2 linked regions of the Drosophila melanogaster genome follow. The protein of the gene in region 2 interacts with the protein of the main gene of each other region in a pairwise test. Each region holds a gene or a part of one and is shown on either strand. Other genes may lie near its edges.

Region 1 (4,049 bases), 7.4 Mb from region 2:
TCGTCAACCTCAGCACAGAAACTCTCAAAACCAACTGGCGAATGCTTCGGGAATGATAATTAAACAAATTGAGTATTTCAAAACAAGTTTTTGCCGCCGAGTAGAGAGCTCATTGTCCGTGCCAAAGAGTCAAGCCAAGTAAACAAAGAATCGGATTTCATGCAAGTCCACTTATGAATACCCTATCTTTTAAATTGAACAAGTTAGAGGACGAACGATAGTTTGCAATATGACTGATTTACGAGTCGTATGAGCTATATTTTTGTCTATACTGAATATCGGATCTCTTGTTATAATCTTAATAGATTACAAATAGCAACACAATCTTTTTTTAGATTTGTAGAGTCCAATATATAGATAATTTTCCTGATAAGCCCGCACAACCGCCGTACCAAAATATAGGTTATTCCAAATCGATTCCAACTGAACTTGGCTGCTGTTCAGTGCAGACTAAAGCTACGGCTTCCCTCTGTTGCCAATTTAACTGCCCACCAGCATCGATTCTGGCCCTCGTACACGCACACCACCAGCCATCAGGTGTGGAAAGCAATGGGGAATGTCAGGAAAAGATTACATAGTTTTGCTTTTTAATTATCTTTCCCTGTGCCGGTCGTCATATTTTTAAGTTCAATGCCACAGGCAGAACAGCAATCTGGTACTATAAATCTTGAGGAATGAGATTTCGGCCACAGCGGATTCTTAATTAGATTGGCAGTGGTTAAACAAATTTATAACATCCAGTTTCGAGTGTACTTAATTCCATTGAGAGTGGTTTTTATTTGTATAATCTAATGTCTCTATTCTACGTTGGGTTCACACCCTTCAGCGTTAGTGTGTTATCCTCGTAGACCTCCAGAACGTCGGCCAAATGTTCGTTGTCTCTGGGCTTCTTGAACTGCCGCTTCTTGTTGGCCGCCTTCTTGCGCTTGGGAATTGCTTTCTTGAGGCCATGGTCCTGCATGGAGCGAATGCCCTGCTTCTCGAGGTACTCGTCAATCTTGGCGTCGTCCATTGCATCGACCGTAGCCGAGCGCCATAGCTTCTGGAACTCGTCGTCCACCTGAGACGGTACAATTGATTAGGCTGGGATTTTAGAAGAGTGTGTTTATAACCCACCGAAAAATTAGCAGTCCTGTCATTGTAAAATAAAATCTTCTTTTTGTCAATGGGTCTAACAACAAAAAGTATTTCGGCTGATCGGTTCTTCAGCACCTTTTCGCAGTGTGGTAGAGATTCCTGGACATCGTCCAGCAAAATGCCGCCCAGGCCCTTTAAATCATGTTGCTTGAGCAGACGCATCAGCGTTTTGCCATCCTTGATCTTGTAGACTGGCTTGAAACTGAACTTGGTGCCACATGGACTGGCTTCCACCTTGGGATTGTTGTGCAGAGCCTCGCTAGCAAGCCACTAAAATAGAGGAATAATGGTTTAATAACCTGCCACAACTTATCACGCACTGTAGCTAACATTCTTAACGGATTGCCCAATGTCCAGCTGGTTGGTCTCGTCCAGAATCTCATCGATGGTCAGGGGATGGTCGTCGCCGTCCTGGTGACGTGTGCGCATGAATTTCACAATCTTGGCCAGCACTCCAAAGCGGTACTGGGAACTGCCGGACATGGTCTTGTATCTAAGTATGGAATGCAAGAGTTCCACATGGTTAAGAACCATTTCTGGCAGTAGCAGAGGCTCTCAAGGAACTTACGTTGTGGCATCCAGCCTGGGAGCATTGGGCGGGCGCATTTTGCGCCTGGAATCATCGCTAGGCGGCGGTGGAGCTGGTCTATCGGGCTTGGACTTCTTTTCCACGCTATTTTAAAAGGATAGCATGTAATTTTCGAGAAGCAATCTTTATCAGAGGGGCCACAAGTGCGGTACTCACGTGGGCGTGGCCATCGCCCGCTTTTTGAAGGCCTCGCGTTCGCGAAGCAGTGCTGGATCCATTTCGAATGTTTTTTTTTATTATTTAGCTCTACGAAAAAAAACTTTCTGCTGCGAGAAATCAACAATTTACAAAATCTAAACAATGCCTGCTCAGCTGTCCGTGGAACCGGAACTTACCAGGGCTGCGACACTGAAGTTGTACATTTCGGAACTGGTTCATTTAACGACCTTTCAAAAAGTCCATTCGCTTTTAAAAAAAAATTTATTATATATATATGGAAAATCTGCATAGCGAGAATTAATTTGTTTCCCATTTCGCTTCCAAAGAAAAAAAAAACATTATTCCATTTAAGTGTATTTATTGTTGGCCTTATACAGTAGAATATCGTTTATTTAAATCTAATATATGAAAAGAATAATTTTTCACGCTGTGGCTTAGCGTGAATTTACGAGACAGAGTTGATACTCTTAAGAAATTCATTGCGTTTGAATTTATTGCTTGGCTGAATCTCGTCGGAATAAGTTTGTAAGAGTTCAAGTTACACAGAGAGTTCGTTTCTGTATCACGGGTAGATTCAAAAGTCCCCTAAGCGGTATGAGTACACATATATACGACACTATGCATATATTGTGTATATAGCAAGAGCATTGCGGTTTCGTTGGCTCCGTTTAAAGGTCGTATGGGTTATGGGTCTTTCTACGAGTGCTCTGTACGAGACCCACTTGAGTTAGTCAATTGGTAGAGAGTAGTCAACGGGTGTGGTGATTTCGTTGGCCTGTTTGGTTTGTTCACCCGGGTATGGTCTTCGTTCGCAGTTTCCGTTTCCAGTCTGCGTTCTCCAGTCCCCGTGGTTCTGGTTCATGTGGCATTCCGTACGGAGAGTGTTGTTGTGGTGGTGGTTCTTGTTTGGTTATTGGTTGGTTGTTGCGTTGTTTGGTGGTTGGTGGTCAGTTCAACTGTTTTTATCGGACTGTATGCTCAAGTTAGTTACGTTTTCGTACATTGCGTTCTCTGTAAGTTCTTGGTTGTCAGTGGGTCTGTGGAGATAGAAAGATAAAAATGGTTTGGCTTATTATGTTCGCGCTCAGTGGGCGGCATGGGTATCGTGGACATCGATGGCCAACCGGTGCACAGGGCAAGTGCAGCAGGCGCACATTGTCTTAAATCGCTAAAAGGTTTTCGGTTTGGAATTTGCACAGCTACTTACCTCGTACCACGGCACACACTCAGTTCAATTATGGCTACATTAATAGATACGGAATTTATGCATACTCAACTAGCTACTTACACTCAGTTCCGTCTCAATCGCTTGCGACCGCCATCATCGCCGTCGGAGCCACTTCGCTCCTCAGCCTCCATGACCTAAAGTAAGATAAAAATTTAAAATTGATTAGAATTGCTTGCTTGTCAGCAACAGAACATGAGTACACGGTACAAACCTTGATTTTGGTGCCGCAAATTTCGGCTCCGTTTAGGGTACGAATGGCCAATTGAGCACTCTCAACCTCCGCATACTTGACGTAGCCACAGTTCTTGTTGGGCAGAAGGTAGACGTCGATCAGTCCCGACCAGCAAGAGAATATGTTCTTCAATATCGAATGCGGCAAGTTCTGAGTAGATGGGAAAGAAACAACGTTTATAGCTAATGGTAATTGGACACGGTACAGTGATACCTACCGCTGAGAGCACAATGAACAGTCGTTGGGCCACCTGGTCGTCCGGCGATGCCAGTGGCTGAGTTGGGGGCAAGGGAACATTGCAGATGGCATCCTTTTTGGTTCGCTCTAAAATAAAAAACCACATTAAGTCTAGAAATAGGAAATATCATGCATTTTAAGCCAAAAATGTGCTAAGAAATAAACCAAGCAAAAGCGTTTAATAAATGGCTACAGGTGATGGCGCGGCCTGTAGCCCTTGATAGGTTTAACTCGCGTACTGTCTATGAAGGATGTGTCCATGCGAGCTGAGCTCATTCCATTGACTTTGACAATGATGCGTTCGCCCATTGGGTACTCCAGGCCATGAAGTTTGTCCCTAAAGAAGAATAGTGTTTTAAAGCCTGCATGAAAATGAGTTTTAGGGCTTTGTTTACTTGGCATAAATGGCGGCTTCTGGGTTGTCGTACACCACTAAGGCCTCATTGGTGCGCGGTCCATCTACAACG
Region 2 (4,587 bases):
CTCACACAGCCAGCAGGTGTTGTTATTTATTTTGCATGTGTGTTTTTGCACGCGGGATCACGTTTCTGCTCCAATTGGAATCCGCTGAGTTGGTTTAATCCGTTTTCCTTTCAAAGAATCAACACTTTTGCTCGTTGGCTATTCGAAGTGCAAGGGAACTTGTCGCACTTTTAGCACGAATTGAGTGCCGCACCACGCACAGTCCGCGGAAATCGAGGGCTCCGGCTAGATGGACATCCAAAACACGACTGAATGGAGCCGCTGGCGTTACGAGCCGAGTGTCAACATGTTTGGTTGTGTTTGCCGTCGTTTGTTTACGAATCCGCCTTATCTGCGGCACACCAATTATTATAAACTGAATACGCCCACCGACGAACAAGAAGAGGCGCCCGGCCGCTCGGTTTTTTATTAGCAACACTTAAATAAACCTAAGAAAAAAAAAAAACAATAATGGCAAACACAGCTGATTGGACCGACTAGGGATGGGAGTTGGTCCAGCTAGAGATGGCACTTGCTTACAAGCGAAAATAACGAGCTTTAATGTATTTTAAAATATTTGTCTATTTAGAAGATTATTGAAAACGTCCAATAGCTTCTATAAATTATAATACACAATTTTTTGCTCAAAATATTTCCCAGTATCAAACTCGGTCTTTGTTTATGCACATTTTTATACGCATTTCATTTGTACACATTCGCTCGAACTAGTGGGTAACTTAAATTACAATGACTCTATGCGTGAGATGGGAAACTCGTGGAAAACGTAGAAATCGTGGCTAATTGCAGACGCCCTCATTCGAATATATGGCTGTAGTGCTGCTGGTATACGTGTATGTAGTTCTCCTTCTCCTGCGGCGTCATCTGGGCTATCAGGTTGTCGTCCAGTTGGTCGAGCGGATGCGGTCGTCCAGCCACTAGCACAGTGGGCACATCGTCGTCCTCCTCCGCGGAATCTGAGTTGATATAATTGTCGAAGTCGACATCAGCTGCAAGTACAAAAACGTATATTAGAACCCATAAAAGATGAGATCGAGAAATGGTTGGTGCTTCTTACGAATCTTGGAATTTTCGATGTCCTTTTCGTCGTCGCTGGAATCGCTAGAGTTGGCGTTCGATGAGCCCACTCGCATACCCTTCATATGCGGCTCCTTCTGGCCCGGCTGCTTCTCATGCTGCAGCAGCACGGACATGATGTCCTCGTTTTCCTTTCGGTTGCGATGCCCAGATCCGCTTGCCGTCTGCACCGCATCGGCCGCGCCATCGGCAGCATCCGTGTCGGTTATCACAGTGCTCTCTGTCATCCAAATGGGGCGCGACTTGCGCTCAATCACCGCATCCGAGGTGTCGTCGCCGCCAATGGTGACGTCCACACGAGTTTCCTCCACGGCAAAGCCCTGGTTTCTCGTCGCCTCACCCGACCACGCCATGCCGTCCGGTCGCGTGGCGTTGGGTTTGTTCAGTCCTCGAATGGTGTCGATGTCCACGGGCTCCGGTTCGAGCACCTCTGGCGCCAGCTTGATGCCCTCCACCTCACGGAGCAGGTCGTACAGTGGCTGCAGCTGCTCGTTGAAGTGCGCTAGCATTAGGCGGGAGTCTTTCTTGGGCATGGCGGCGCTGTCCTCCTCCACGGAACTGCCGCAGAAGGTGCACCGGAACTCCAGCGTGGCCATGTCGAACAGCTGGTCCGCTTCGAGGTCCGTGAATGTTTTGGAACACGAAGAGCACTTAAAACTTGCTCTACTGGTGGCATCACGCTCCTCCGTCTCCATACGCTTGCGCATGAGATCCAGCTTGTACTTCACCACGTTCACGAAGGTCTTGTAGTTGATGAAGTAGTAATTGACCTTCTGCGCCTTACCATCCGGCCCCGTTTCCATTTTAAGCCTGATCTGGATGAACTTGTCGGTGCGCAGCGTGGTTATCCGGGCCCTTAACTGCTTCTTCTCGAAGCGCAACAGCTCGCCGATGTCGTCCTCCTTCATGCAGGGATTCCGCACCAGCATGTCGATGATAAGCGCATCCTCCAGGGAATAGAATCCACGGACCACGAGGCGCGCCAGTTGCTTCAGACTGCTGGGCACCTCGGTCACGTACCGCACCTCCGTCTTCGCTGGCGCTGCGTTCGCTGCAGCCGTCGATGTCGACGACATTGTGTGTTTATCTGGAGGATCGGCATTATTAAGATATATATAAACTGATTTTTTCCTTTTGTTGCGAGTGCTCTCCTCACGCCACTTACCAGACTCTCGAAACCGGAACTCCGGAAGCAGAGCACTTTGCGGTTATTCAATGCAGGCAGTGGGTCCGTGGATCTTCATGGGTCTACCGGCAGTCATCTGCTCGCTGTTTGCCCGTATTTCGTATGATTTTCCACGGCAAAAATAAAATTTCCACCGCCAAATTCTTCTTTGTGCAGCAATGTGGCCAAAGAAATTCCTTCGAAAGTCCTCGAAGCAACGCGAAAACCCCTAAATAAGCCTCGCCTTTAGGTGAAACACTTGGATAGAAGGGTAGCTACGCTTCAAACCGATTTTTAGCCCGCACAATTTAGGGCATTGCCACACCAAACTTTTGAAAAACTCATTTCAAAAACGTAGCGTTGAAAAACATTTTATTAGAGACATTAATTTAGCGAAGAATTTAATAATACGAAAATAATTTAGCTATATTTACTTTAAACCAATAATGTTGTTGTTAACTCGAAAGCATTTTGTAGAAATGTGTTTATACATTTAACAATTTTTTTAGAAACCAAATAACCTTTTAACAACTTTTTACTACTACGGAATTTGCCAGATTTGAACGCACTACATTTACATGTTTGTGCAATGGCTTTACTAACAACTTCGCATCTGAGCGCTGTTTGCTTTGAATGTTTTTGACCGCAGAAATGAGTGAAAATAATCCAACAAGTCGTCCTCTCGCCGCCTTTGTTTATCCGCTCGAAGTGCTTAATATTTCATGCTCCGCTGTCTAGGGTCGTCTATTTTTTAATGCGAACTTCGCCTTGCGTTCGAGTGCATTCCGGTGTAATCCCCCGGAACGAGGCTCGCCCACATAAAAAATACCATGGCTACAGGAGCAGAAGCCAAGCAGAAGCCAAGCAGCCGCCGCGGGGGTGGACTTTCCACGGGATCAGAGGTCGGGGGCGCAGACGTCTCCTTGCGTGTTTATTTGGCAGCCAACACACTTCTGTTGTCCTCGATGAATGTCATGGATATAATTGGACGCACAATGCGAAGTCCGAATCAGCTGCTCCATGTTTACAAATGCCAATTCAACAGACAGAAAATAGGCAAATTTATGGAACACGACGAATCAGTTTCCAAAGAAATTATTTTTGCAAAAAAAAAACTCGTGTTTAACTGGAAATCCTATCAAAAAGATTCTTTCATTGACTAATGATCAAATTAGCATTTAAAGTATTAAAACTAAATATAAAACTCAAAATTTAGCCTTTATTGTTTCACTTCTTCTGCAATAAGTTGACTTTTTGTCGCTTTTCTAACTTAAAATTTTTATAAAGGTTTTTCTTGAAATACATATATAAATATTTGTTGTTATGAATGAAAATTGAAACGCGTTTGAATGTGGTATCTTAATCTTTACTGTAACAAATCTTCAGTTATTTGCAAGATGGTTTATCCTAATATGTATGCTGTAATTTAGTTTCTGTACAAATTGAAATATTAAATAAAAATATATTGCTATTAATGAATATTTAACTTTTAAAATGTTTACAGTGCCAACTGCAGCACGTGAACACCCACGGGCGTCCAGCCTGCAGAGTTGCCTGAATGGCTCGGAAAAGCCCAGTCGCTCAAAGGGTGGGAAACTACTCCGCGGAAACTCCTCCTGAACTTGTTTACCTTGCAGCGGAGGGCAGGGCGCAGACTCAGCGAGAAAAGTGGACACAGACAGGGGAGTAGGCCGAAAGTGCTTAGACGCTTTTCCGAAAAGGAAGCAATAGATACCCTACAGCACTACGTCCATGGGAAAAGCTCTTTTCCGCGCGCGAGGGAGAGAGCAGCGGGCAGTGCGCAGGCTCTCGCTCTCTCTCTCGTTCGTTGCGGGGAAAACAGAAAAAGGCTTTTCCACTTTCGCTGTTGGCATCCGCCTGCAGTTTGAATTTTGAGTCGTGCGCGCTAACGCTCGTTTTCCACGCTTTTCCGCTCGACAATTTTCCAACGGCGGCCACAACAATTACAGGCGACAAAAGCGTGCAAATAAAAACTTGTGTTTCTGCTTTCCCAACGTTTTACTGCAGTTTCCTTCGCTGTCTGCGAGACGGCGGACTTTCTTGCGGCTTTCGTTTTTCCGTTCGCGTGTGTGTTTTCTTTCGGTGTTTTTGTGTGTTTTCCGCTGCGAATACGGAACGCAAAAGGAAGAGCCACGATAAAAAACACAAAGGAAAATTGGTAAAACGCGGCGCCGCCACTTTTGCCAAATTGATTTTTATTGTATGAGACGCAGAGTTCAAGCATTATATAAAGAATCAAGCAAGGATAAGGTTGGTTTTCAAAGCCCTCTTGCATGATTTGAATGTGTTAAAAACAATATATAGAAATTATAAGATACCATTACTGG

Evidence for each region.
Region 1: the proteins of TfIIEalpha (region 2) and TfIIEbeta interact in a two-hybrid assay, tested with the Drosophila melanogaster proteins (2 studies listed by BioGRID).

Annotation. Positions count from the first base shown.
Region 1 is NT_037436.4:4,285,045-4,289,093, reverse strand, and holds TfIIEbeta (transcription factor IIEbeta), read right to left. Parts: upstream 2,057-4,049; 5' UTR 1,945-2,056; coding exon 1,883-1,944; exon of another isoform or gene 1,811-1,882; coding exon 1,706-1,810; intron 1,631-1,705; coding exon 1,468-1,630; intron 1,408-1,467; coding exon 1,117-1,407; intron 1,061-1,116; coding exon 803-1,060; 3' UTR 745-802; downstream 1-744. Other genes in the region: CG1316 (uncharacterized protein), read right to left, coding at 3,176-3,247, 3,325-3,495, 3,563-3,669, 3,822-3,919, 3,978-4,041.
Region 2 is NT_037436.4:11,679,875-11,684,461, reverse strand, and holds TfIIEalpha (transcription factor IIEalpha), read right to left. Parts: upstream 2,425-4,587; 5' UTR 2,240-2,424; intron 2,162-2,239; 5' UTR 2,151-2,161; coding exon 1,055-2,150; intron 987-1,054; coding exon 793-986; 3' UTR 657-792; downstream 1-656.